Linked DNA regions of Danio rerio. The protein of the gene in region 5 binds, or shares a complex with, the protein of the main gene of each other region. Links are inferred from orthologs where the notes say so. Each region holds a gene or a part of one and is shown on either strand. Other genes may lie near its edges.

The links.
Region 1: drc5 (region 5) and drc3 share a complex: the UniProt entries of both Homo sapiens proteins name them as parts of the nexin-dynein regulatory complex. The link is inferred for Danio rerio from reciprocal best matches to the Homo sapiens genes DRC5 and DRC3.
Region 2: drc5 (region 5) and drc9 share a complex: the UniProt entries of both Homo sapiens proteins name them as parts of the nexin-dynein regulatory complex. The link is inferred for Danio rerio from reciprocal best matches to the Homo sapiens genes DRC5 and DRC9.
Region 3: drc5 (region 5) and ccdc135 share a complex: the UniProt entries of both Homo sapiens proteins name them as parts of the nexin-dynein regulatory complex. The link is inferred for Danio rerio from reciprocal best matches to the Homo sapiens genes DRC5 and DRC7.
Region 4: drc5 (region 5) and drc8 share a complex: the UniProt entries of both Homo sapiens proteins name them as parts of the nexin-dynein regulatory complex. The link is inferred for Danio rerio from reciprocal best matches to the Homo sapiens genes DRC5 and DRC8.
Region 6: drc5 (region 5) and fbxl13 share a complex: the UniProt entries of both Homo sapiens proteins name them as parts of the nexin-dynein regulatory complex. The link is inferred for Danio rerio from reciprocal best matches to the Homo sapiens genes DRC5 and FBXL13.

What each region holds. Positions count from the first base shown.
Region 1 is NC_133178.1:67,120,346-67,124,258, reverse strand, and holds part of drc3 (dynein regulatory complex subunit 3), read right to left. Parts: intron 3,585-3,913; coding exon 3,472-3,584; intron 3,149-3,471; coding exon 2,974-3,148; intron 2,228-2,973; coding exon 2,096-2,227; intron 648-2,095; coding exon 577-647; intron 494-576; coding exon 370-493; intron 1-369. UniProt on the Homo sapiens protein: Component of the nexin-dynein regulatory complex (N-DRC) a key regulator of ciliary/flagellar motility which maintains the alignment and integrity of the distal axoneme and regulates microtubule sliding in motile axonemes.
Region 2 is NC_133193.1:29,337,272-29,342,455, reverse strand, and holds the start of drc9 (dynein regulatory complex protein 9), read left to right. Parts: upstream 1-1,867; 5' UTR 1,868-2,007; coding exon 2,008-2,106; intron 2,107-5,184. UniProt on the Homo sapiens protein: Component of the nexin-dynein regulatory complex (N-DRC), a key regulator of ciliary/flagellar motility which maintains the alignment and integrity of the distal axoneme and regulates microtubule sliding in motile axonemes.
Region 3 is NC_133200.1:14,672,181-14,677,105, forward strand, and holds the end of ccdc135 (dynein regulatory complex subunit 7), read left to right. Parts: coding exon 1-65; intron 66-584; coding exon 585-695; intron 696-770; coding exon 771-881; intron 882-964; coding exon 965-1,159; intron 1,160-3,011; coding exon 3,012-3,151; intron 3,152-3,516; coding exon 3,517-3,598; 3' UTR 3,599-3,899; downstream 3,900-4,925. UniProt on the Homo sapiens protein: Component of the nexin-dynein regulatory complex (N-DRC) a key regulator of ciliary/flagellar motility which maintains the alignment and integrity of the distal axoneme and regulates microtubule sliding in motile axonemes.
Region 4 is NC_133192.1:12,696,376-12,701,666, reverse strand, and holds the start of drc8 (dynein regulatory complex protein 8), read right to left. Parts: upstream 3,525-5,291; 5' UTR 3,509-3,524; coding exon 3,487-3,508; intron 3,177-3,486; coding exon 3,092-3,176; intron 2,962-3,091; coding exon 2,889-2,961; intron 2,800-2,888; coding exon 2,720-2,799; intron 734-2,719; coding exon 691-733; intron 547-690; coding exon 480-546; intron 1-479. UniProt on the Homo sapiens protein: Component of the nexin-dynein regulatory complex (N-DRC), a key regulator of ciliary/flagellar motility which maintains the alignment and integrity of the distal axoneme and regulates microtubule sliding in motile axonemes.
Region 5 is NC_133195.1:54,629,626-54,634,890, forward strand, and holds the start of drc5 (dynein regulatory complex subunit 5), read right to left. Parts: upstream 3,202-5,265; 5' UTR 2,927-3,201; coding exon 2,892-2,926; exon of another isoform or gene 2,730-2,891; coding exon of another isoform or gene 2,725-2,729; intron 2,664-2,724; coding exon 2,494-2,663; intron 746-2,493; coding exon 177-745; exon of another isoform or gene 1-176. UniProt on the Homo sapiens protein: Component of the nexin-dynein regulatory complex (N-DRC) a key regulator of ciliary/flagellar motility which maintains the alignment and integrity of the distal axoneme and regulates microtubule sliding in motile axonemes.
Region 6 is NC_133200.1:19,760,817-19,766,023, forward strand, and holds the start of fbxl13 (F-box and leucine-rich repeat protein 13), read right to left. Parts: upstream 3,233-5,207; 5' UTR 3,180-3,232; coding exon 3,105-3,179; intron 2,910-3,104; coding exon 2,806-2,909; intron 2,690-2,805; coding exon 2,602-2,689; intron 2,525-2,601; coding exon 2,457-2,524; intron 2,385-2,456; coding exon 2,230-2,384; intron 177-2,229; coding exon 67-176; intron 1-66. UniProt on the Homo sapiens protein: Substrate-recognition component of the SCF (SKP1-CUL1-F-box protein)-type E3 ubiquitin ligase complex.

The DNA.
Region 1 (3,913 bases), on a different chromosome or scaffold from region 5:
ACACACACACACACACACACACACACACACACACACACACACACACACACACACACACACACACACACACACACACAAAACATAAAATAATTAACAATACACAGACACACACACACACACACTGTTATTAGTTATTAAAACTATGTATAAAACACACACATGTAATAAAATATACAGTAAATTAATAACTCTCATATACATTCAGTAATACAGTTATATATTCAGGCACTTTATCCAACATTTAAGCCTAGTAAACACACTATTTTCATGGATTTCCAGCACTCGAACCAACCCTGAGTTAATTAGCATCTCATCAATATTCATAAGAGATCAACACAAATCTGCATAATTGAGCCTGTTCCCCCTCACCATGGCCAGATCATCCGGGATCTCCTCTTCAAGCTCATTCTTGAGGACTTTCTCCAGTGTTTCCAGGCCGATCTCCAGCTGCTGTTCATGGTGCTGGTTCTCCAGATCTCTGCACTGCGCAAACGTGAGGTGGACGGTTAAAGAAGACGCTCTTATACAGGAGAAATATGCTTTTATATTCATATAGACGTGGCTGATGAAGGATATATCCCCTGCACAAACTCAACGAAGCCTCCCAACATCTCGGAGATATTCCTCTCAAACTCTTTGTAGACGTCCTTTAAACACAGATTTGGAAACTTCTGTTAGTTGTCAGTGATATGATATGGTCTATGTAGAATTTTGCATTAATAATCCATATCTACATCCTTTGAAATAAAGATTTTGTACCACAAAAGTTCTTAAATGAATTCTCATGTCTAGGAGCTCTAGTTTAAGACCTTTTCACACTAAATAAGCAAACCGTTTTAAACACAATTAACAACCTACTGCCACAAAAGATCCTCCACCTAAAGCACTGATATCCTTACCTAAAGCACTGTTACCTCCGCCCTAAAGCACTGTTAGCTCCGCCCTAAAGCACTGATAGCTCCGCCCTAAAGCACTGATACACCCGTCCTAAATAACTAATAGCTCAAGCCTAAATTACTGATAGCCCCGCCCTAAATTACTATTATCACTCCCCAAAATTACTGATAGCCCTGCCCTAAATTACTAAAATCCTTCCCTTAAATCACTGATAGCTCTGCCCTAAATTACTGATAGCCCCGCCCTAAATTACTATTATCACTCCCCTAAATTACTGATAGCCCCGCCCTAAATTACTATTATCACTCCCCAAAATTACTGATAGCCCTGCCCTAAATTACTAAAATCCTTCCCTTAAATCACTGATAGCTCCGCCCTAAATTACTGATAGCCCCGCCCTAAATTACTAAAATCCTTCCCTTAAATCACTGATAGCTCCGCCCTAAATTACTGATAGCCCTGCCCTAAATTACTAAAATCCTTCCCTTAAATCACTGATAGCTCCGCCCTAAATTACTGATAGCCCCGCCCTAAATTACTAATATCCCTTCCCTAAATCACTAATAGCTCCACCCTAAATTACAGATAGCCCCGCCCTAAATTACTAATGTCCCTTCCCTAAGTCACTGATAGCCCCGCCCTAATTTACTAATATCCCTCCCCTAAATCACTGATAGCTTCACTCTAAATTATTAAAAGCTCCGCCCTAAATCACAGATAGCCCCACTCTAAATTACTAATATCCCTCCCCTAATTCACTGATAGCTCCACCCTAAATTACAGAGAGCCCCGCCCCAAATAACTTATATTCCTCCCCTAAATCACTGATAGCTCCACCCTAAACTATTGATCTCCCAGCTCTAAACCACAGATAGCCCCGCCCTAAATTACTAGTATCCCTCCCCTAAATCACTGATAGCTCTACTCTAAATCACAGATAGTGCCGCCCTAAATTACTTATATCCCTCCCCTAAGTCACTGATAGCTCCACCCTAAACTACAGATAGCCCCGCCCCCTAAATTACAAATATCCCTCTCCTAAATTACTGATATCCCTCCCCTAAATCACTGATAGCCCCACCCTAAATTGCAGACAGTTCCACCCTTTATTCAGTGCAGCTGAGTTGACTGTATCAGCACCTGTAGGTAATGTTTGATTCATATGACTGAATGTGTGTGTGTGTGTTTCTCGTCTGACCTCCAGTTGGTCCACCAGCTGCAGCTCCAGACTCATGAGCTGTTCAGAGGTGTGTGTGAGCTGCTGACGGCAGACGCTCAGGTGTGTTTCCAGCTGAACAGCATCCTGGATCTGATGCATCTCTGCTGTCTTCTGCAACACACAGCATCAGGCAACATCTACAGGTTATTCTGCATTTTAAAAGGGAAAACTCACTTCATTTTGACCCGCCATTTCTGAAAACAAAACTCAATAAATAAATAAATAAATAAATGATAAATAAATGACAAACAAATAATAAATAAATGATACATAAATAAATAAATGATAAATATATAAATGATAAATAAATGACAAACAAATAATAAATAAATGATACATAAATAAATAAATGTTAAATAGATAAATGATAAATAAATGATAAAGAAATAATAAATAAATGATACATAAATAAATAAATGATAAATAAATAAATAAATGTTAAATAGATAAATGATAAATAAATAAATAAACAAAATAAATAAATAAATAAATAGATAAATGATAAATAAATAAATGATAAATAAATAAATAAATAAATAAATAAATAAACAAATAAATAAATAAATAGATAAATGATAAATAAATAAATGATAAATAAATAAATGATAAATAAAGAAATAAGAAAAATAAATAAATGATAAATAAATAAATAAATGATAAATAAATGATAAATAAACAAACAAACAAACAAATAAATAAATAAATGATAAATAAACAAATAAATAGATAAATGATAAATAAAAAATAATAATAAATAAATAAATAAATAAATAAATAAATAAATAAATGAATGAATGAATGAATGAATGAATGAATGAATGAATGAATGAATAAAAAAGCCTCATTTCTAAACTGACCAGTCTCCTGAAGCTCTCGAAGTCGGCTGCGATCTGTGCCGCTTTCTGCTTGTTTTCAGCGACGGCTTCTCGAGAACAGCTGAAGAAAGACTCCACCTCCGCAGACCTCCGAGAATACTGAGACAACCCTGCCTCAAACATCTGCATACACACAGCCTCCATTCTGCTCCTAAACGTAGAGCCACGTGACTGTCAAGGAGAGGCGATTGCTTGGTGTTCTTAATGTACGCATGAACTCAAATCCTGTTTGCCCTTGTAATCTTAAATTTAAATATGCAAATTCACTTCCTGTTTGTAAAATTCTCAGATTAGGTCTGTTTGAGATATTGGGAGGGGCTAACATTCTTAACCACGCCCCCTCCAGCTGTCAGTTTTGACATCAAACAGAAATGGTGAGCGAGAGGAGTCTTTTAGGTTGTAATAACTCTTCCTTTGCTTTTAAGCAGTTATGTGTGTGTGTGTGTGTGTTTTGTTTGTTTATATATGGGATAAGGATATTCCTCCAGCAGCGCGTCTACTCCCGGCAGCAGAGCCAGTTTCTCAGCATCAGGATCATCTGCAAACATGCTGTGGAAGAGCTGAGCGCCGTTCAGGTTCTCCACGAATGCGTCCTGGAAAAATATAAACAGTGTTTACTCACCAGTGGGAAGGAACCTTTTCTGTGGATTAAAGCTCCAGTGAAGTGCTTTGTAATGTGCATTTTTTATTCTATGTTTGACAAAATCTCGACTGAAACATAAAGAGGGGGTGGGGCATGTAAAAAAACCCTCCCTTTAAAAATCCGCCAATAGCCTTTAGTTTTTATCACCGCTCTTCCAGTGAGAGTGGTTGAGCTCAAGCGCATCAAATTAACAGCCAATGGGAAGAAGGGGGCGGGGCATGTCAGACACTAGAGAGCATCTGATTGGCCAGATTTGATGAGAAACTGAAGTATGAGGAA
Region 2 (5,184 bases), on a different chromosome or scaffold from region 5:
GGCTTTAAGACTAAGTGGAATCCTCTGTTGACCGTCACATCAGTGTGACTTCAGCTAATCAGTTTTGTTCAAGGCAAACTATTATTTTTCAACATCCAGCTGTGCAAGAAAACACAATCTGACATAAGAGAAGTCATCCTTTACTACTGGATTGTTTTTAAATAGAGAAAACATTTTACTTGTAACTTTTATTCTGAATCTTGTAACAAATATTCTTGAAATAAAAATAGCCAAAGCACTAAAATACTAATTTGGCTATCCATTAATTTTTAATCACATGTACTTTTTACAAGAGAGGCAAGACAAATCATGAAACCCTTTTATTATTATTATATTTTATCTTTTTATTTTTCAAACAGCCAAATTCTGACTGAGGAAAGTTGAATGTGCTGGCCAATTTGTTACATAAGTGACAATAGACAACAGTTTTTGTTTAAAACTTTAACAGATTTTTAAAAAATTATAATGAAATATGATGTAATAAATTTGAATATTAAAAATAAATATTTATTCATATTTCTTTATTCTAAATCTTTAGCAAATATTTTGGTAGCCTACTTTAAAAATTGTAGTTATAATGACCAGCCGACAAGCTAATCCAGCTAAAACGCAGCCTTACACTATCCCTGCTATAAAAAAAAAAACAAAAAAAAACCTAGCATACTGGTAAGGTATGTATTGTTGCTGGTATGCAGGTCTTGCTGATTTTAATGCTGGTCTTGCTGGTTTCAATGCTGGTTTTTACTGGTCTCGATGCTGGTATTGCTGGTTTTAATGCTGGTTTTGCTGGTCTCGATGCTGCTCTTGGTGTTTTTAATGCTGGTTTTTGCTGGTCTCGATCCTGGTCTTGCTGGGTTTAATGCTGGTATTGCTTGTTTCAATGCTAGTTTTGCTGGTCTCGATGCTGGTCTTGCCAGTCTCGATGCTGGTTTTGCTGGTCTCGATGCTGGTCTTGCTGGTTTCAATGCTGGTTTTGCTGGTCTCGCTGGTTTTCATGCTGGTCTTGCTGGTTTTAATGCTGGTCTCGATGCTGGTTTTGCTGGTTTCAATACTGATTTTGCTGGTCTCAATGTTGGTTTCAGCAAGACCAGCATCGAGATCAGCAAAACAAGCATCCATACCAGCAAAACCAGCATTGAAACCTGCAATACTAAATATGTCTTTATAAGCATATGTTACAACTAAAACTCTGTCTGTCACAACTTGCCCCACAGGTGGGGTAAATAGTATTTTTTACTCCTGGCACTTTTGGCAATGCACATACGTCCGGCGATCATACAACCAGTGCTCATTTGTAGGAGAGGCTTGTGTGTTGTTGGTTAAAAATATGGTTTGTCTAACCATATATTTTATATTTGGCCAAAACCAAAAAGTGTTACACGTCCCCCGCTCTCCCCATACCACATGTTTTTGGACTTATGGGGGAACCCGGAGCACCCAAAAAACACACTTACGAAAACACAGGGAGAACATGCAAACTCCACATAGAAACGCCAACTGACCCAGCCGAAGCTCGAACAAACAAACTTCTCGCTGTGAGGCGAACTACCCACTGTGCCACCGTGCAGCCCAAAACTGAGTATTGTAGACAAATCTACTGATTATAAATCTTAAAAGGGTTACCTATAAAAATACCTAGAAGTCCTGAACATTACCAATGAACAGCATGTTTAAGATAAAGAAAAACAAAATAAGTCAAAATGTCAAAATAAGTCAGTTTTGTCAATAAACCACCTTCTAGCAGACAAAAAATGCATGGAAAACTGGTCAAAACATGATGTTCATGAACGTAAATTAATTCAGTCTGTTGTAAGAACAGCCAGCAAACGGAGCGGATCTGTGTGTACAAGACGTGCTGTCATGACGACGGACGCTGTTGCTACAGCTGCACGTGTAGCGTCTTCTTCACGGCTGATTTGCCTCTTTGTTTAGAAGGATTAAAAGAAAGAAACCTTTTAATTTTATTTATATATTTATCTAAATTTCTATATAGCCCAAATCAGCAGTATGACGTCCGTGGAGGAGCTCAGAGCGTGTGCTTTGCTGCAGGATTGCGCTGATCAGCTGTCAGTGTTAGGAAATATTATACGCCCCGGAGCGGAGACTGTGAGTAACAACATCAAATTTAGGACATTTAGTAATCTGCTTCCTGCTACATTTGCTCGGTTATGCCCGATATGCTTGTTAAATTATGTTTTATATTTAGTGTCATGGCCAATAATTATTGGTGAATTAAACAAAGTTAGGATTTGTTGGTTGATAGGCTATTATATGATGTTGTTGCGTTAAACATTATTTTAAACAGTTTCAAGTCATGAAATTATTTTTAGTAGGGTAGAGCGGGGCACAAAGTAACACTTTTTGGTTTTGGTCAAATAATTGGTCAAATTCACAGCTGTCACATCCATAACGACACTTTTTTCTCATAATGCAAAAATGTCAAATAAAATAAAATCAATTCAATAGTTAGCCGACTCATATCCGTTTGATTATCATTGTTTCTTTTGGGTTGTGCAGTTTAATTAACAGAATTTCTACAAAGTCTTATGAAGACTAAACTCCCAAACATACTAAACTCTCATATATATATATATATATATATATATATATATATATATATATATATATATATATATATAGCACATTATGAGGAGGTAGCACTGGTGATCATTTAACCAGTGCTCATTTCTAGGTGAGGCGTGTGTGTTAAAAAAAAATCAAAAAAATTATATGTATATATATATAGTGCTGTAAAAAGCTAATGCGTGTACATGTAATTTGTGCATGTGTTTAAATGTGACATTCTGTAGTGCATAGTTATTGTCCAGTATGCCCACAACGTCATAAAAAAATTATATTATGTTTGATTTAGGTTGTGATGTCAGGTGACCAAAATTCTATGTCTTGCCAGTGTCTAAGGACGTTATTTTGATATCCAATAATGACGTCAAATGACGTTGATATTTTATCGATTGTAGCTTGTTAGAAAGAGACCAAAATCCACAGCTGAGCCAACATCTTAAACCAAAGTCATATTAACGTCAAATACTGACATTTATTCATCAGGTATGGCAACCAAAATCCAACGTCTGTGTCACCGACTCGGTCCCAGTCATTCCCCTCGCTGACCAGCAGAGGTCACCATCTCCGGACTTCTAACCATTACGTCATCCATTCACCCTGATCCCAGCACACCTGTTCTCCATTCCACTAATGACCCACGTACCACATATAAGCAGCTCACACACACACTTCAGTGCGAAGTCTTGTTTAGCCCCGGCCAGCATTTCTGAGCGTTCTATCCTGCCTGATCTCCCGTTTACCACTTCAGCCCGTTTCACGACTCTGCTCTGTCTTCTGCCTGCCCTCGACCAAAGCCTGTTTCCTCGGACTCTGATTCTCGCTGCCTGCCCTCGACCAAAGCCTGTTACATGGACTCTGAATCACGCTGCCTGCCTCTGACCCAAGCCTGGTAATCACTCTGCGTCTGTTATCTGCTAAACCTCCTTTGATGTGTATGTTGTATGTCCGCACAGCCGTGCGAGTTGTTGATGTTTAAGTGTGACTTAATAAATACTGCAAAATGGATCCCTCCATGTCAGTCTCCCCGTTACAGAAGACTTCGCCCAACACGGATCCCGCAGCCATCCAGGTTTTGTCTCACGAAGTCACAGCACAAGCTCAGGTATTGTCTACTTACCAACAACAACTAACACATCTAACTCAGTTAACAGACGAACTGGTGAAATCCCTACAAAACCTGCAAGCTGCTGCCACTGCGCAACCCACCGCCAACTACTCTCCAAGTCCACTTGTTGTTGCACAACCCCCGATGACTTCCGGAGTTCGATTGGCATTCCCTGACAAGTTCTCAGGTAACCCAGCAAAATGTAAAGGCTTCCTACTGCAATGTAAACTGTTTATCGCCCAACAGCCCCATCTGTTTAAGGACGAGAATGGGAAAATTGCTTTTGTGTGCTCACTGCTCACTGTAAAAGCGCTAGACTGGGCTACTGCAGTTTGGCCAGACAGTACCCCGATATTTCCCTCGTTTAATGACTTTCTCAAACGTTTCTGCACTGTGTTTGATCATCCGGAGGGTGGTCGCAACGCTGGCGAGGAGCTACTGTGCATCCAACAGGGAGATCGCTCCGCAGCTGAGTTCGCACTGCAGTTCCGCACCTTGGCAGCGCAAACTGGCTGGGCTGATGATCCGCTTACCACGCTCTACAGAACGGCTTTAAAACCAGAATTGCAGAAAGAGATGGCATGTCGTGACGAGGGAAAAACACTGGATCAACTAATCAAACTTTCTATAAGGTTAGACACTCTCCTCCGCACTCGCAATCCACTGTGCTCAATTGCTTCCAGTCCTGTATCCCCTGAGACCTCCGCTGAACCCATGCAATTGGGTAGAACCCGCCTGAACCCAGAGGAGCGAGAACGACGGAGAAGAAATCACCTGTGCATTTATTGCGGACTTCCAGGTCATACGAAGGTTTTATGTCCCCACAAGCCTCTCCCTAAAACCGTCTCGGTGAGTGCAACCACTATGTTCACTACCACTAATAATGTTATGAATTTGCCTGTCATTCTGAGAAACAATGGAGATGAAATTGAGACTATGGCCATGATCGATTCAGGAGCCGCTGGCAACTTTATTGATTACACGTTTGCCACCACTCACTCCATTCCCTTAACCTCCTGTGATTCCTCCATCGCCATCACTGCTGTAGACGGGCGCCCTTTGGGAGAGGGACACATAAAATTCCAGACTCAACCAATCTCTCTTCAAACAGGCTCTCTCCATGAAGAAGAGATTTCCCTTCTTGCCATCGAGTCCCCCAAGCACTCTGTAATTCTTGGGTTACCATGGCTACAACAACATGACCCTCAAGTCTCCTGGAGAACTGGTGAGATCACAAAATGGAGCAATCAATGCTTTACCCAATGTCTGCATTCTGTTTCCCCTGTCCAGATCAACACAATTACCAACACAGAAGACCCTGAACTCTGTCATGTTCCTGATGCTTATCATGATTTAACTGAGGCATTTAACAAACAGAAGGCTACCAAGCTCCCTCCACATCGTGAAAATGACTGTGCCATCGAACTACTACCAGGCACCACGCCCCCTCGTGGCCGCATCTTCCCCCTCTCTCAACCTGAAACTGAAGCTATGAA
Region 3 (4,925 bases), on a different chromosome or scaffold from region 5:
CAAAAGCAGCAGCAAACTCGCAGAAAGGACAAGATTTTTCTCCTGAGATGGTGTCTGGCTTTCAGGTCAGAAATTTCATTGGTTGAGTTCAAGATCAAGATATTTTTTTTATTTTATTTATGCTCCCCTGACATTAATAGATGCAGACCCTTTAGACTGTTTAACAGAAATATGTTCAATCAGTCACATGGCAGCAACTCAAATAGATCTTGTGTGTGTGTCTACTTACATTAGTGCATTGAAATCCAACACTTCAGAAACTGTATATTCAGTTCAAACTGGTAATGGTGTGTATAGAGGTGGTAAATATTTTCTTTTTGCAATTTGGGCCCTTTATTCACCAACAATATTCAGGTCAACTGTGTGATTTAAACTAAACTCAATTGGTACCATCAATACCTTGAAATCGAGTGAGTGGTCTTTAAGCCTTTTCCTGGAGACCCTTTCCTACAGAGCTACAACCTTTATCAATAACACCTTATTAAGGCCTTCAAGATTATTTGGAAGTTAAAGGTGATAAGGGCCAGCGTTGAGAATCCCCAGTTTATAAATGGTTTAATAGATTGTTCATTTTGCATCTTCAGGTTGATCCTTTTGCAAAACCCTACAACGACTTGCAGCTTTACAAAATTCTTTTGGAACTGATGAGAGATGAGGAGAATGTTGAACTTCAAATCAGAAATTCAGAAAAAGAGGTATTACAGTTCGAGCATGGCAAAACATTTGTCTCGACTCTTATGAGGACTTAAATCTTTTTTCTTCTTTTAAAGGTCAAGTCCATCCTTTCTTCAAGAGAAAAGGAGGACAGTAATACTGATCTGCTGATCTCCATCTACAACACTACAAGAAACGAGACTGCTCGTCGGCACATGGAGGAAAAGGTGAATCAGGGCTTTGATCAGCCAGTTGCTTTTGTCAAACTAACCCATAATATCACTTACCCCTGGTTCTTGTCATTCCTCAGGAACGTAAGGCTAAGGAAAAGCAGAAGCGGCAGAAAGAGAAAGAGCTCGACCTCTTGGCTCCTTTCCAGGCCCGACTAGAACAAACAGAATCCCTCACTCTCAAGGACGCACTTCAGCTGAAGAGAGACTGTTTGACAGAATTTAAACAACAACTCGCCAACAAAGCTAACCTCATCCAGGGCAGATTCGAAAAGGCATGTTCATTTGACCCAGACAATTTACCACTTTCTATAGGTTCTGAAGGTCCTCTGTCCTGCAGATTTCAGCTCCTGTCTGGAAATCTCACGTATTCCTAGTAAGACCTTAATTAGCTTGTCCAGTGTTTGATTAAGGTTGGACCGAAACACTGCAGGACACTACCCCTCTAGTATCAAATGTGGTCACCCCTGCCCTTGCCAAACACACCTGGCGTCAAGCAGAAGAGTATGCAAAACCACTCCTTGTCATTAGATGGCGCTACACAACTATTAGCTTCCAACACCCGTTTATAACACAGAAGAGGAAGAGAGGAAGTTCACGAGCTTGTTGTTAAAGTTACTGGTGACTTGAACAAGCATGGATGGTTCAAGCAGCAGCTCCAGCTTGTTCATATCGCCTCGGGGCATCTTCTTCAACGTGCGCTCGTATTGACAGTTTTGCGCTTGAGCGCCTCCAAGTGCTGTTTACAGTAACTTCAGCAGCTCCGTGCACGTGAACAAAAAAGCCAACCTGATTGGTGAAGAGGGTTTTGACGCAGCGCATCAAAAAAAAAAAAAAAACAGGCATGAGGCATTTATTTATTTTTTTAAATTACGCTTTTGCGCCTGACGTTTCGCGCGTTGGTGTGCACGATCACATTGACGCCCTTTATTTAGTCACGAGGCGTTAAACGTCGACAGAAAACGCAAGCAAAAAACGTATCGGTGTGAACGGGCCTTAAGACTGCTACCCCCGTCCCAGATAGGCGGATTAAAATTAGATGAGATGTTTGATTAGAAATTAAAGAAAAAAATTTTCCTATTTCTGGGAACGCACCACCTTGCATGAGTTTTTGGTGCACATTGTTCAGTTCATGGAGTTAACGAGTTGATAATCTGCATGTCTGTCTAATTTAATAGACCTTATTCAAAGTTTGCAGGGAGGTGGGTCCTCATAAGGGCCCTCTAGTATCAGGGGCCTGTTTGCACAAATTCTGGGTTTAACATACCATGAGGTTGGCTCAGCTGCTCCATAATACCATGACGAAGAGTGATTAAAGTTCAGCCGTCTATTTGTTACAATAAAACCAAAGATTGGTGCAAACTACACTGAAAATTTAACTAGCTAGGCAGCTAATTCAGCTTCATGGTACAAGCCGCCAAATATGGCCACCTCTGGCTTACAAAGTACATAAATGGTATAAAAAAAAACTATAAAGTTTAAAAATAGAAGGCAAAACACAATTTTACTGACTTAGATTTTTACATGTGGTGTCCCTTTAATGGAATATACTCTAAGCCAAATATTGGCTAGATCTCATTGATCATCTAACATGGTCTTGGTAGATCAGGGTAAACAGAGTTGACTTGGTTTAAGTTCATTTGATTAAGACAAATAAATAAGTGCATTGTTGGGGGACAAGGTTGAGAATGTCTGTTTTCAGACACTTCCTCCAGTGAACACAGGGTAGATCATCTTTCTGAAATCAGACAACAGTCTCACATTGCATGGATAGGTTAGAAATGGTTTGAAAAACATGGTAAATTCAAAGGTAGTCTGGGCCTCCAAATTCCCCACATCCCAATCCAGTTGTGCATCTGTGGGATGTGCTGGACCATCAAGTTTAAATTACATTCCGTCTACCTGCAACCTAAAGGTCTTGTGGAATCTCGTTCCAAATATTTTGCAAGAGCACGTAGACAACCAACAAAAAAGTATGGACTTCGAAGGCGTCTTGAAGGATCTGTCACAGCAGGGTGCCAACAAGACATCAAAATGTTGATTATGATGATTCGGCCCAATAGTACTTGATAAGTTTACTTCTTGCTGGCAAAAGGGGCAGAATAACCTCAACTTTTTCTTGTTCAGGAGACAGAAGAGCTACAGAAGAAACAGCTGTGGTACCAGAAGAACCAGCTCACTATGAGCACAGAAGACGAGGAAGACTACTTCAAATACTGCTCTGAAGCCATGTTCAGGATCCATGTTCTCAAACTGAGACTTAGTCGGTAAGCGTTGAATTACTGATCAATGCATTTATGATGGGTGCCCAAACTCTGTCCTGGAAGGCCTGGATAGTGTCCTGCATAGTTTGCCTCTAATTTCCTTCAACACCTCTGCCTGGGAGTTTCTAGTATACCCAGAAAGAGCGTAATTAGCAAGATTAGGTGTGTTTAACTGGGGTTGGAAATAAATATGAAGTACACCAGACCTCCACGATTGGGTTTGGGCACCTCTTATGACAAGATATTTTTTAGATTAACTTTGTCAAAAGGTTAATGCTAACTGATGATAATGTACAGTTTTGCTTTAAATTTAAATAAGCTTGTACATTTTTGCTTTAGAACTGATCAGTAAATGTGTCTTTTTCTAGACAGAAAGAGAGAGCGCCTCAGAGATATCTGGCACTGGAAGAGACACTAAAAAGACATCCAAAGTTGGCTACGGACTCTTGATTCAAGATGAGTACTTGCATTGAAATCTGGAGACAGCATTATGTAACATCTATTACTCTAACACAGGGGTGTCCAAACTCAGTCCTGGAGGGCCGGGGTCCTGCTGAGTTTAGCTCCAACTGGCTTAAACACATCTGCCAGAAAGTTTCTAGCATATATAGTAAGAGCTTGATTAGCTGGTTCAGGTGTGTTTGGTTAGGGTTGGAACTAAACTCTCCAGGACATCGGCCCCCCAGGACCAAGTTTGGACACACCTTGCTCTAACATATGACCCAAATAAATGTTTTCATTGCATAATTGATCAGATTGACATATGTAATTATGGATTTGGCAGATTTTGACAACTCTGTATGAGAACAATAGAAAACATATGCAATCGTACACTAGACTTGGTCATTTTTGCACCGCAGAGCTCCCTAGAAAGTACACATTCAAAACATCAGTGTATAGTTTGTTAAATTATATTAAAAAAGTCTTTATTGCCATGTTCACTATAGATTATACACGTAAAACCTAATCGCAACACTTCAACACTAATCCCAGTCCGATGATACAAAAACAAAACGCGTCGATGACCAACATTCCACTTCAGAATGCTGGAAATATTATTCAAAAGAAAAACTAAAAATTAACAGCCTTTAATAATGCAAACTTTATTTACAGAAAAAGAAAGATCCAGTACTTCATGCCATGCTCCTTAAAAGAAAGGAATCGATCCTTCACAAAAAGTTATGAGAGAGTTAGAGAGTAAAGGCAGAAAGAAAACAGCAAATCTGGCGAACCATGTTGAACAGAGAGAAGTTGAGAGTTGAGTGAGAGTGACATTAATTTAGATTTCTCTAAAATGTCTATTAAAAAAAAACAAACGAGCTTCAGTTACACTTATTACAGCATTCTGCACAAGAAAAACTGTACACGGAAAACCCTAAATGACACGTAAAAGCGTGGTGTTAGCCACCGTATGTACAAAAAACAACTGTGCACAATACTAACATACAGGAAATGCTGACTTAGTATTATACAATGTAGACGGACTGAGTTATTTATTAGTTTTTATTTCACACATCCTATTTCGCATAACCGTAACCTATGTATGCGCTTACCCTGAAGAAACAGTGGGATGTGTTTTTTTTTTTGGATGGAGTGGACCTACTGGCGGTTGCTCTTGATCCTCTCCAGCCTCTTCTTGAGGTCGTCCAGGTTGGAGGCGGGTGAGGAGGAGCGCGTGGGGCTATGCGAATGCGACTGCTCCTGCTGGAAGTGCTCGCGGGACTCCTTCAGCTGGGATAGTTTGCTGTGAAGCATGTCTGTGGAGGAGGCGACTGAC
Region 4 (5,291 bases), on a different chromosome or scaffold from region 5:
CATTGGGGTACAACTTCAATAGGACGTCATGTTGACGTTCTGTGCCTGCAGGGCTGGGTCCAGCCACAGCAAATGTTTAGTCTGCACTGAGCTTACGGTTAGCATTTGGCACTCTAAGAAGCAGCTGATCTGCTGATCTGAGAGAGCGAGAGGGTAATTAAGGGTGAAGCAGGTCTGATATAAAAGGAGGGGCAGACTCATTTATAGATTTAAAAAACAAACAAAGGAGTTTTAAAATGAATTCTGTATTGTACAGGCAGCAAGAGAAGGGAAGATAAAATGAGAGTGATGTGAACAAATTTGCGACTCCCTGTCAAAAGATGTGCTGCACCAACTTCAGGGGAGCCAAAGAAGACCCGCTTATACTCAAATATAAAGAATTATAGTAATCCAGCAAAGACAAAGAGCACTGCACATGTGCAATTACAAAATATTGGAAGAATCTTAAAATCCAGGACAACACTTTGTTATAGTCTCACCTTCTTGTGTTAAGTATTTGGCCAGTTCTGCTGGTTCCAGGTGTCCTTTTTTCTGTTGATCTAAAACCTTTAAGATTAGATTAAAGTACAGTCCATTAAATCAATGCACTGGTCTTAGGTGTCTTGCATAGTGTCTTTGACACTGCTAAAAGTTTCACATGTTAACAAGGTAAATTCACACATTAAAAATTAAAAAACAAAACAGCCTCACCTCAAAAGCCTGTATGAGCAGGTCTTCTGTAATAGGACGAAACCTGCAAGAAAAAAGAAAGAAGCAGAGCTACAATTATCACTAATACTAGGCTTTGTATTAAATTTTATTGTGGGAAAAACTTTAGCAAAGTAAATATTTATTTAATCAAATGTTTATTTTATTTTAGTTTTAAGTTTTTACAGGTACTGCAAATTATGTTAAAACACTTATAGTCATATACTGTACGTCTCAGGGATGGATTTAGTGATTTTGGGGCCCTAAGCTGTTCCAGCCATTAGACCCAAAAGTTCTAAAAGGCACCTTTTGTACTTTAATTTTTTTATTATTATTTTGCTGTTATTTCTTATATCAATCAATCTCCTTTTCTACATTTTATCTTAATGCAAAATAATAATAACATGTAAAGCACCTTATAAAACTTTTTAAATCATTTGTTTTCTTAAGATAAATTCACTATAAATAAACAATTTCGTTTTTTAAAACTAAATCTTTACTGATTTGACAGCTGAACTGGTCCATGATTGAAGGTAGGGGAAAATATGATAGAAAGCAATGTTATATATAATATTTATATGTATAATTTATAATTCTAGGTATTTATTTGGGAGCCCTCAGATTAACTGGGGCCCTGAGCGGCCGATTAACTTGCATATTGTTTAAATCCACCCCCAGCACATCTACATGTAGAGGCAAAACATTTGTCTGCTTTAGACACGACAACACATTTTATTAGTGAGATTTTGGCTCACACAGGCCAAATATAGAAAAAGGGAAATCCAAATATTTCCATTGCTCTCTGGTCATTGATTGCAGAACATTTTAAAAAGCCCTGCTCCCTCAATGTTATCGAAGAGAAGGTAAGCGTTTAATTAATGTTTTCTTATTTATTCATTCTTTTCGGCTAAGTCCCTTTATTTTTTATCGCCACAGCAGAATGAACCGCCAACTTATCCAGGATGTGTTTAATGCAGCGGATGCCCTTCCAGCTGCAACCCAGTGCTGAGAAACATCCACACACACTCATTCACACACATACACTACGGCCAATTTAGTTCATTCAATTCACCTATACCACATGTCTTCGGACTGTGCGGGAAACCGGAGCACTAGGAGGAAACCCACGCCAATACAGGGAAAACATGCAAACTCCACACAAAAATGCCAACTGACCCAGCCAGAGCTTTAAACAATGACCTTCTTGCTGACAGTGCTACCCACTGCGCCACTGTGTCGCCTTGTTTTCTCGTTACATCAATTGTTGATGTATATACGGAACATTTTTTAATAAGTTTGCTTTTATTTGGATGCATGCCATTATGTGCTTGCAATTGGGTGTGTAGGAACTGTGGGAATTATACGATCCGTGCAAGTTGATACCTTGGACATTTTGGCTTCATCTTCTAGCACTATATATCCATGTACAGTTGAAATCAGAATAATTAGCCCTCCTGAACTATTAGCCCCGTTGTAAATGTTTTCCCCAATTTCTGTAACGAAAAGAATTTTTTCAACACATTTCTAAACATAATAGTTATAATAACTCATTTGACACATCAAACTGATTTATTTTATCTTTGCCATGATGATGATTTTCAACATACTAGTATTCAACTTAACGTGACATTTAAAGGCTTAACTACATTAATTAAGGTAATTAGGCAGGTTAGGGTATTTAGGCAAGTCATTGTATAATAATGGTTTGTTTTCTAGATAATCGAAAATAAATATTGCTAAAGGGGGCTAATAATATTGACCTTAAAATGTTTTTTTTTTATTAAAGACCATTATTTTAGCCAAAATAAAACAAATAAGACTTTTGCTAGAAGAAAAAAAAAATCCTTGCTCTGTTGAATATCAATTTAAAAATAACTGAGTAAGAAAAAATTATTTACAGGACAGCTAATAATTTTGAGTTAGACTGTATATAAATATATAGATGCATTTGTGTGATTTATCAGTCTGTGACCTTTTAAAAACATTAAGAATAATCTGGGTTTCATACTGTTTTATTTCATTACAGTCTTACTTGCGCTCCAGCAGGATCTTAGTCATAGTTGGAAGAAACTTCTCATAGCGCACAAATCCAGTGGGTTCTTCTTCTTCTAGCTGTGAATGAAATGACACTTCATAACTATTGATCTACTCAACTTACAAGAGCGATGCATTTTATGACCCGGCAAAACAAAACCACTGACCTCAGAGATGATATCATGCAATTCAGCTTCTGAAGGAAAACAGCCAAGTGAACGAATGATGGTGCCTATTTCCCTTTTACGGTGAAAAATGACAGATAACATTAAAGAAGTCTTCCTTGTTTGTAGAACATGTGCAGAACAAAGCTAACAGACATCAACAAATGGTCTAATATATTTTGAAAAACAGCGTAGTGAAACGTTACCTGACATCAACAGTCTTGTTGGATTCATGGTCAAATACATCAAAGGCATTCCCAATCCTCTTTTGAGTTTCTATTATAATATTTTCTGATAAAAAATACATTAATTAACGTTGTGTTTTTCCGCATTTTTATTTTATTTTGTGTGTGTGTGTTTACAAAGCAATTCAGCTGTAGATGTTCGCTGTCTGTGTGGTCTTTTACTGTTACTTTAACTACTCGACGTTAACAAACAACGTTACTGAAAACTTTTCAAACATCATTGATCTGGTAACAGTCGTAGTAATGGCAACTGTATTTAAAAACACGTCATGCTGAGAATACAAACACCATTAATAAGCATACAGTAAGCCCACAAACGTAAAAAAAGCGTAGCATTTTACGTGTAGCATCTTTACCTGCATTATACTTGTCCGCCATGTCTAAAACCCTGGTTGCTAGGTAACCTGAACACACTCGCCATTCAGACGGAGGGCAGGAAGTGGTTCTTCTACGTAGGAACCGCTTTCAGAAGTTTAAAAAAATGTTTCTGTTTATGCTGTTTATGATTGTTTAAATCGACCAAAATAAGAAATGCCGAACATCTTTTATAGACTAGCAAAAGTTTTTGCTCACAAAAGGGGAAAGTTCAGTACTGACTAAAAAAACAGAAGAAAAGGAAGAATGTAAGGAACATTTTTATACATCCTTTGTACAAGCATGAACGCGATTATTCGTTTGAAAGCACCAATAAAGAGTACATGTCTAAATTACCTATGTGTATAAATATGTCAGTGTTAAATAAAAATCAGAAGCACTTATACAATCCAGGAGAATATATAGGCTAAATAGTACCTGCTATAGTAATAAATAATCACATAGTCCAAACACTAATATTTCAGAGTTGCCAAAATGCGTGAAAGTCACGCAATTGACCGTATTCTCACGCTCTCACGCCACACATCAGTTTTCTCACGCAGTAAAATCATCTCCGTGAAATATTTATTCCGTTATAAAAAAACTCCCTATGATGTATGTAGCCTTGCTGTAGTCAACCTAAAACCTACAGTAGGTTGACACAAAACCAAAACAACACCCATTCTTGTCTTAGGACATTTTATTTGGCAAATGTTAAAATAACAGTAAGTTTATGACATGTTAAATATATAGTATAATTTGCTGGTTTTAAACATACAGCATATTAATAATAATAAATATAGTATAACAATCATAACATAACATCAAATGTTGACTAATGAAGGTACATTTATAACAACTATTTATTTGTTAGACTACTGTATTGTCAAACCATGTTGCATACAAATGCATTCAACAGACCTATATGACAGTGCATTGCTGTAGAGGACAAATAAAACGAGACAGGTGTTTAGAAAGAGTATAGTTTATTTAGTTTGACATGCAAACTTATCTAAACAAAGACACACTTTCAGAAAACAGCCCGAAAACATTATAATGCGCGCGCTCGTGATTATAACCCGCGGTTGTCTTCAACTGTTGTCTTCAATAGTCCTTCTTTGCTCAAAATCTCAGCTGAAAAACAAAGCAAAACATCACAACAGTCAGACACAGAAGAGCATAGAATTACCATGAGGCGACAATCTACAATTTGGGAAACAATAACGCGCTTTTTGAATAAATTAAATAAAAACAAAGCAGCTGCTTTCCATCGCGACAGCAATGACGAGCGATCGCTATCACTTCAAAATGGCGGAATCCGGGTCTGTTGCTCTTGGTCATTGTAAGCTCTTTGCATAAAGTTAAATCATAACAGTTACCATGGTTTCTATTTCAAACTATATAGTAAACTAAAGTTTGAAACTATGGTTTAAAATAGAAGATGAGTGGGCCTCGCTACTCCCACCCACCATAACCCTCGCAGCGAGGTCCCACTACCGGCCCCCCGTGTTTCCCTGAGGGTCCTCGGTGGTTGTTTGCTCCCTGCCTAGGGCTCAAAGGCCGCCTCGCCCCAGGGAGTGCACGAGAAGACCGGGCGCCAGGCCGTGCCAGTATTCACTGGATGTTGCTCGGCGGCACATTTCGAGCAACAAACACGTAATGTTCTTCGCGATATTGCGTTTATGTACGCAAACCGCAAGGAACTACAGCACAGACGGGCCCGGGTGAAGCTTCACGAAGCAGACTTTGTGAGATTGGCGTGGCTCCACTCGTACCGTCGGTATTGAACTCACCTTGGTCAAGTACA
Region 5 (5,265 bases):
CTTCCTTCTTAGACTTTACAGACCTGAAACCTGCCTATAGCACTTATTAATTGTTGCTCTTATAGTTGTGTTAATTGCTTCCTTGTCCCCATTTGTAAGTCGCTTTGGATAAAAGCGTCTGCTAAATGACTAAATGTAAATGTATACCCTATTGCCAATAACATGATTCTAAAAACCTGTAAAGTCTTGCAGGAATTGAGTGCTTTAGCCAGGGATTCGCAGTCTCTGAAGGTGAACTCGAACAGATTCCACTCAAAGTTCATGCCACATCCTTTCACGCAATAAACCACGCTCAGCTCTTTCAGATTCGGCAGCTTGTCCAGCAGCATTCGGAAATCAAAGTGGTCCATGGAGGGTCCATCACTGCCCATATCACTGGCAGACTCTGACCCGTCGTCCTCGTCAAACCGGGACGGCTCTTTAATGGGCGGCAGCAGCTGAGAAACCCGCAGCTGCTTGACATAGTTTTGACACAAAGGCAGCACATCTAGCACTGTTTTGGTGTCAGTTGTGTCTGGTATAAAGAGTTCAATGATGCTCTGAAGGTGACGCTCGAAGAACATTTGTTTCCAGCTGTTATCATACGTGGAGATGTCAGCGAGTCCCCAGCGAGCTTCACAGCAGCGTTTCCAGTAGCTCTCATCGCTAATAAGGTTTGCAGTGATGGTCAACGGAAGAGATGCTGGCAGTCGTTGGAGGACGTATGTTTTAAAGCTGGGTTGGAGCTCATGCAGAATGGGCTTCTCTGCAAAAAATATTAAAGGGATAGTTCACACGAAAATGCCAATTTTATTACTATTTATTATTTATGAGCTTATGAGTTTCTTTGATTTAAAAAAATTACTCATACCCCAGGCAAACTCTCATTTAGGCCTTGGTCACACTAGAGTTTGAGCTGACGAAGTTCTGTTGTACGGTGATGTGAAAAGGGGCGGGATTAAACAAGACGATTAGACACTAATAAAGTATTGATTAAGTGATTGCTCCATATATTTAATTTCTGTGCAGAGAAGTCACGTTTTGTAAGTATATCGGGTGAAAAGTGCAGTGTGACCACAGCTTTAAGGTTTTTTCAAATGTAAATAAATCTGAGAAATATTTTCTTCCACAATAATGCCTCTTGTACTTTTTCTCATTATCTTTTAGGAGAAGCCTGTGTCATTTATGGTCAATAAAACAACTTCATTGTTGAAATCAAGTAAATTTAAGTTAGAATTTGCCAGGGGTATGAATAATTTTAAGCTTGACTGTATGTATATATATATATTTCTCGAGTGCCTTGGACTAATTCTTGTTGTTGTTTTGATGAATCCCTTATCCAAAGAGCACCGACCAAATATTTGAATTACCCCTCATCGCTTTTTGTTTGTTCTTCTGGATTAATATATGTATATATATATATATATATATATATATATATATATATATATATATATATATATATATATATATATATGTATATATGTATATATATATATATATATATATATATATATATATATATATATATATATATATATATATATGTATATATATATATGTATATATATATATATATATATATATATATATGTATATATATATATATATATGTATATATATATATATATATATATATATATATATATATATATATATATATATAATTTTTTTTTTTTTTTTGGGTAAGCAAGTATTTTACAGTGCTTTAAAAATACTCAATACTCTGTCAGTATTTTCAAACAATTGTATTTGATTTACCAAAATCGCACAAGTGGCAATTTCACATCTGTCACATCCATAACAGACAGATGTCAAATCCATAACGTAAAATCGAATAAAATCAATCATGTTTGTTTTGTAGTGAGCCGACTCTTATACTTTTGATTAGCATTGTTTCTTTTGGCTTGTGCAGTTTAATTTACAGAATTTTTACAAAGTATGTAATGTGTGATTTGGCAAATCAAATATAATAGTTTGAAAACATTGACAGAGACATTTTTGAGTATTTTTAAACCAATGTAAAATACTTGCTTACACAAAAGTTTCGATATTTTGGCGAAAATTTTTTTGTCATTTGCATGGAATTGCTCATATACACACACACACACACACAAACAGATATTATACATATATATATATATATATATATATATATATATATATATATATATATATATATATATATATATATATATATTTGTAAACTTTAACTGTAAATTAAAGTTAACAACATTAATTTGCACTTTATTGTGGCAAAGATATTAAAGAAATTATTAATATTTACAAAAATATTTACTAAAACCTTGTCTCCATTAACAAGCTGTTTGAAAGCACTACTTTATAATAATATAAAAAAATAATAATAACAAGCATTAACGTTACCTAAATGCTCATTTAGTAACTTAAATACATGCTACTCTGACAATTCTGAGTGCATGTAAGGCTTATTTGTAATCCTTACGGTGATTATGAGAGTGTAAACTAACTGACAGACTTGTGTGGGTTTTTTACCTTCGAAGTGTTTTATAATATGCTGTAAACAGAGTGTTGTTAGCAGAGGAACCAGCGCCAGCGACCACTCATGATCCTCCGCGATGATACTGCGCCTTTTTTGGCCGTCAGAAGCGGAGTTCATGACCCCGGATCTCTGAGAAGACTGACTCCGAGACATACTGCTAAAACTGACAGATATAAAACAAATATCTTGGATAAATACGCATGAAATAATACAGATGACGTTACCTCATCACTGCTGCCTGTATGGACGACTTTCTTTCACGACGTCATTTTTACCTTTGTCCTCGAATAAATGTAGCTTTTTAGTATATGAACGCAAAATAAAAGACGAATCTTAGTTAAAGAAAACGTTGAACGTTAATTAATTAAGTGACTTCTAAATGTCGACTCACACTTTCTGTTCCTCGGGAAAGTTTGATGCTGCCATGGTAACAAGACCTGCTCGCGCGCTTTGTCATGTCACCAGCCGCTGAAATGCTAAATGCTAATAATCAGTCACTAAAATAATAACAAACATAATTTTCACAATCAATAAAAACAGTAAAACAGGACAAAGATCTAAAGCCTTAAGCTGTACAACATATATCAGTCATGTAGGTTTCTCTCGCATTATTAATTCTATCCATTGTAAATATTAGTATAAAACATCATTCACGTTACAGATGACATTGCATATCCTTATAAAATAGTTTATTCAAGTGTGTCTTTAATTATTAAATTTGTAATTATGTTGTTAAGGGTAAGGATTTCAGCCTTGCCCTCGCTTTTTTTCATTTAACATGACTTCCAATTTATTTTTTAGACTTTTAAGTTATGAACTATACACTTGCATATTGTTTTAAGCATAAACTGTTTATTAATTAGTAGTTTTGGCACAAGGCTACTTTATTATTATTTCTTAAATATAAATCAGTTTATTAGAGTCCTTGGATTTTAATGTCAGCCTCGTACTCCTCAAATAAATAAATAAATAAATAAAGTTTCTCTTCCCCTTCTATAATAGTCTATAATGTTTTTGGTGATTATGAGGTTTGACTGAGGGGTATAAAATATTGTAAATTATGCAACACTTCGACATTTTAAAGGTTAAATATTTATTTAAATTAACACAATGTTTACAAGTAACAATCTTTTAAAAGTGTGCAAACATTAGTGTAGAAACCATTAGCAAGCAATTCACCTGAAAACTACAAGCTATCATAAATTTATGTGTCATTTTTTGACATTACATTCATGAGAACAGGGTGATTTCTTTTTATTATGGGGTGAAATATAAGAGAAATATTGAATATTTTCTCACAAATCCAATTTCAGACTATTAGAGCAGTGTTTCCCAACCCTGTTCCTAAAGGCACACCAACAATTTTGAATGTCTCCTTTATCTGATCCATTAACTTCAGGTTTTGGAGTCTCTTCTTTTGTTCTGATGAGTTGATTCAGGTGTGTTTGATCAGAGAGAGGTTAAAAACTGTACTGTTGGGTGTGCCGTTGGGAAACACTATACTAGAGTATATGAAATTCCCATCATATTCACCTTTAGCTTTTTTTTTTTTTTTTACACATTATTACTTTCTTAATAAAGGGACAGTTCACCCCAAAAAAAAAACTTACTCATATGTACTCTCCCTTAAGATTAATTAATCTTTATGGGTTTCTTATACTGTTCTATCCATCTTTTTCTACCATAGAAGATATTTTGCAGAAAGCTGAAAACCTGTATCCACTGACTTCCATTGAAAACAAATACTATGGAAGTCAATGGTTGCCGGTATATCCAACATTCTTCAAAATATCTTCATTTGTGCTCAACATAATAAATGTTTGAAACACGTAAATGATGACAGAATTTCCTTTTTTGGGTGAACTATCCCTTTAAATGCAAAATTTATTACAGTTATTTCTAAATTGAAAAGATTTTATATAGTGTTTAGGGCAATACTTTAGCTTAGGTCACAATTCAAGGTATTAATAAACCATTAACTAACACTGCTAGCTTAATAAACTACTAATTCGCTGTTTATTACTAATTAATAAGGTAAAGGTTGTATTAGTTTTACCTGCTATAGAAGTCAATGGTTACCGGCGCCCAACATTCTTCAAAATATCTTCTTTTGTGCTTAACAGAAACTGGTTTTGGTGCACGAGTAAATGATGACAGACTTTTCATTTTTGGGTGAACTATGCCTTTAAATACTGTCTAGACGAACAACTGCATGATCAGCGCTAACCTGCGAACGCTGCTTTTGCTAGCATCAGCTTGCAGAAATCTGAAAGCTGCTGAATGTTGGAGATTTCAGACTCTTCAACACTTCTGCACTGAAAGCTCACATCACGCTTCTGCAGGCGGTGTGTTTTGATGGCAAAAGCAGACAAACAAACAAACATCAGTTTTTTTAGGCACACAAAGTCAAGCCAAGGCAGACCTACATGTAAGAATAACCCAAAGCCCTGCAACCTGTAGTGTAAACTGTTATGATTGGTGGTAAATCAAAAGCAGCCCTTCTCACAGTCAGGGTTATCACACGGTCACCCAAACACACCAACTAACATTATTTATATGTGTTATATTAATGTACACCTCACCTATGGCCATGAGCTTTGGGTCATGACTAAAAGGACAAGATATTGGATACAAGTGGCCGGAATGAGTTTCCTTCACAGGATGGCAGGGCGCACCCTTATGGACAGGGTGAGGAGCTCTGTCACCCGGGAGGTGGTCAGAGTAGAGCTGCTGCTCCTCCACATCGAAAGAAGTCAGCTGAGGTG
Region 6 (5,207 bases), on a different chromosome or scaffold from region 5:
TATAATAGCTGAATATCTCATGAATTCAATGCATTTGGGTTTAGCTGATTGTTTTAATAATTATACCTTAAAGTATTCCTTTGTTCTTTTAGCGTCCTGCACAACATGACGCCAAGCCGTGATGATTTTTCTGCAGTGTACAGACTCTTGAACCTTCTGTAGTTTCCTCTCTGCATCTAGATAAATTAAAGAATGCCTTGTTTCATGATATATAGAGAGAACAGAAATAATAACACACTAAATTTATATGGTAACATGCAAACTAGTAAAAAAAAAGCATATGGGCAGAATTTAAACAAACAAATTACATTTAGTAATGTTCAACTTAATTTGTTTGCTTAAAATGAGCCCATATAAATTGTTTAAACCAGTTACCTTAAAACAATTCAGTAAATCCAATGATTAAATTTTTTTTTCAGTGTAGTTACTAACTTTATTGTAACATATATTACAAATAACTCCACTTATACAATGGTTACTAAAGACATTGTGCTGATTTTATTTCAAGATATGTGTCCGTCTTTTGACACTAGATTTTGCATTTCATCCCAAGTCTCTGTTGCTACTTTATTTGCAAAATGTTATTTTAGAGCTTATGAAGTGAAGTACTGTGAGATTTAAATGTATTTAAATGTACCAAAAAGAAAACAAAATTCTGCCATTATTGCCATTATTTATTCATCCTCTACAAAGGAAGATAAGCTGAAAGAGCTGTCCTTGACTTCCGGAATATTTTAGTTTGCTAATTTTACCTTTTGTTGAATCCATTTATTCATATAAATTCAGCATTTTTATTTATTTATTTTATTTTTTAATCAGAAAATCAATCAGAGAGTTGCATTGAGAAACCCATGACAAAAAAAATTGAAAAATGCTATAATTCTTTAACTTATTAAAGTTGTTAAGAACACAGTGTTGTACCTTGAGGCCTTTTTATGGATGTATGCTTTCTGAGTCTGAGTGAAATCAAAATTTACAATGTTTGTTTTGCATATCGCACATTGTAATTCTTTGGGTAAACAATTAATCCACTGAAAAAAAAGTTTGTTTGAGTAATCTTGTTGAGCTTTGAGTGCGTAGATTAATCATTAGACAGAATGAATCGTTTTTAGCAGTGCCTTTTTATTTCTGACCTTCACGTGCTCTCTCTGTACAGTATGAACATGAGATGGTAAAACTTCCTTATAAAAAAAACAACAACAGTATAACATGGAAACGTAAAGCATGTAAAAAAAAAACATGACGTCATCATTAAAGTACAGTAATACACTGAATCAAAATGTCAAACCCTTCAGTGATTATATCATTACAACAAGTAGAGTGCTAGTACTTTAACAAATCTTCAGTCCAAATCTGACCATTTGCATTGATTTTTGGAGGGGGGGGTCTTTCTCTGTTGATGTCAGAATGATGGCTTCAGCCACAACATTCTTAACCATGCCCCTCTACCATTAGTTTGCTATGAGGGAATAAAAAGCACTGCCCTCTACTCAGTACCTGCTTTTAGATTAAATTGGAAGTACTGTACATCAACACACTGAAAAAAAAGTCTAAGAAACCTCCAGTTTATTCTGATCTTTTAGGTTTATAAAGACTTTTTTGAAACTTACCTCAACATCTCAGTCTCACTGATTCACAATTTATAGCCAATTATGATCAAGCATTCAAAGGCACATTAAGTAATTTTCTCCGCTCTAGAGGGCGTCCATTCACAACAAACAAAGGCTTAGTTTGCGGATGTCGTGATCGTGTGTGTAATCATCAAGTTTTCAAAAATGAAGGGTTTATGATGTCAAATATTATTATTATTATTATTTGAACATTAAACAAAACTTTTGGCATAATGTAAGTACATAAGTACAAAATATATAATAGTGTTCTGACAATCCAACATGTGCTTTTAGCGGGCCTGTAATAAACAGTACCTGCTGACAGTAATGGGTTACATTTTATCTGGATTACTTAATCTTTCTCCAAAAATGACTTGCAATTATTATTATTTATTATAATTTAAAATGTTCATAACCGGAATTATTATTTTTTTTACAGATTACATAATTATTGTACAATTTCATAGGTGAGTTTTCCCGTTTTCAATTCACAATATTCAAGGAATCAGAATCAAGCATCCAGGGGCACATGTATAACTAAATTTGACTGGGATTTCTGAAATATTTAAAGTATCTCCAATATCATCTGTTTGTATTATAGACCATGAAAGCTAAATACCTTTCCATCGCTGTTTCTGAAACTGAACCCATGCTGTCCACTTTATGAAAGCCAGTTTTATCCTTCTCTGTGTGTGATACATCTCAGCCTCCTCCATTCTTTCAAGGAGCCGGGCAGCCTTCATCTTTTTCTGCCAGATGTAACTCTTCCAACCCCTTTAATATGAAAAGACAAGATATTAAAAGAGCTGACTTTTAAATAATTTATTCTGTACTTTAAAGACTTACGTGAAACACATTTTGGTCAGATTGGTGTGGTAACAAGTGTAAGCTTTCTCCAGCAAATGTGACAGATTCTATGAGGGAGGAAAATGAAATGAGTTTATGCTTATAAACATTCACTCTGAATAAAAACATACAAAGAGAGTTTTACCAGGCTGTCTTCTGGATATCCAAAAATATAATTCACAATGCCTCCTGCCAATGAGGAGATTTGTTTGTCTTTGTCAATAAATGTGTGCCTGAAATATATAAAAAAAAACATGTTTAGGAATATTAACCTGAACTTGATTTTGCAATAAAAAGGCACAATTTATTTATAGTTTAATGAAACAAATATATAAAGAAGCCAACATACCAGACAATCTCAAAATCTTGATCCTGTAGGATTGATAGTATTTTTTCCTCCATAAAGTGTAAAGGATCTTCAGGACATGAGACACATAAGCCAGAAAGTAAAGCCTAGATAAAATGGAATAATATATATACAACAATAACTACAACAACAAGAACCACTTCAAATCAAAATACAGTTAAATTTTTAAAATATTTTTTAAATACATTGAAATATGAAATAAAATATTTTTTCAAATGTAAAATCAATAAAGTTACAACTTAAAATAAACTAAAATTATTTTAAAAACAAACCTAAATCACCTTGTAAATCTGAGGTAGTGAATGTTTAATAATGTAGTCTCTAAAAATCGCATCTGAATCTTGCAAAAATGCCATTATAAAAGCGGTGAGAGAGTCACTGTGAATGGTAGATGATTTCCTGCTGTCAGTGTAACAATAACCTGAGACACTTTTGTCAACATTTACCTTTCATGTTACTTGGTTACCTGAACAATTGGTTGGTCACATGAAATAACCCCAAAAGTAAACTACAATAAACACAGAACAATAAATGTATATACTTTTATTAAAGAAAGTTTTCTTAAGCAATTGTATAACACACTTTTATAATATTTTTTTTATAACAGTTTATAGATAAATAGATAGACAGACAGACAGACAGACAGATAGACAGATAGATAGATAGATAGATAGATAGATAGATAGATAGATAGATAGATAGATAGATAGATAGATAGATAGATAGATAGATAGATAGATAGATAGATAGATAGATAGATAGATAGATAGATAGATAGATAGATAGACAGACAGATAGGATGATTATAGTATAATTTTACCTTAAAATGGCTTTTAAAAAAATTCTAAGCTGATATTATTCTTGCCAACATAAAACAAAGACTTCCTCTAGAAGAAAAAAATATTATCAGACATACTGTGAAAATTTCCTTGCTCTGTTCAACATCATTTGAGAAATATTTAAAAAAGAAAAATTTAGCTAATTGCTAATTCAACTAACATAAACTAAAATAAAGACAAGCTATATAGGCATAAAAAACAGATAAATAAAAAATGTACAAATTAAAATTATTAATACTTCAACTACAACTTAAAAGTAAAAATGGAAAATATAAAATTAAAAGTACAATAGGATAACAATGACAAAAATAAAGCTAGTGCTTAAAAGGTCCGTGTAGGTCCGTGTACGTTTTGTTCATTTGTTTTTCATTTTCAAACGGAATAAAGGAAATGGAGAAAACGGACGTTTTTCCGTTTTTCTTTTGCTCACGAGAAAACGAAAAAACGAGATTTTGGCTGGGTTTTTCGTTTTTTTGGTTTAGGGTAGGAAAACGGATAAACGACTTTAAAATTCTTTTTACACATGTAGGCGGTGCTGAAACGCCCACTTTCCTCTAATTGGTTAACCAAATCTGCGCTCGTGACGTCACTCTCAAAATAAAAGCCTTACACGCAGGCTTTTAATTATTATTATTTAATTATATATATAAACAAAGTTTACATATTCTATCATTTGAACCACACACAGTTAGCAGGCTTACATTCATTGCGTATGTATAAATTAAATAAAAACGTAAATCAGCAGTATTCTTAGACATTTGTCATTAAAATAAGGTCATAGTTCACTGCCAAGCTTCTTGCTGCTGTGCACCTGATGCTGAGCAAAGATAGCCATTTCCGAGCAGCACCTAGTTTACATGATTGTTTCAGAGCTATTGTAGGCCTAAATAATAGCCTACTCTGTATAAAATAATAATTTATTATTATTATTATTATTATTATTATTATTATTATTAGGCCTATTATTATTAGTATTGTTATTATTATTATTTACTTAGTTATTCAATGGTTGTAAGAACACATTGGACCCTGCATGGGGCTATAATAAATGGTACCATTTGTTTCTATTGGATTTTCTCCTATTTTAATTTAATATATGCCTTTAGCCTATTGTAAATATTTATTTGATAATTAATACTTTTTTATTGCAACGTCAAAGTAGGCCTGTCTTATTATTATTATTTTTTATTATTATTTTGTCGTTATTGTTGTTATTATTATTGTAGCAGAGACATAGCCACAGGTGTGGCAGAGTGTGCTGGTGCCACCCAAAGTGGCATCTTGCACCTGAAAATAGATGCCTTTGCGCTCAAGCGCGTGCAAAAAACTTGCACAGGCAAAAGTAATGATGAATGTGTTGAAGGAAAAAAAAAAACATTCTAATTATTTGTTAATAAAATAGTGCAACATTATTCTCAGTCAGTGTAGGCTGAAAAAATTAAGATCGCCAGCATTTCAAGGGTGGTTTTATTTTTAGTTCATTGCTGTGACGCACTATATTTCACTAAGGCAGCATGAGACTGCGCATCTTGCTTATTTTCTCTA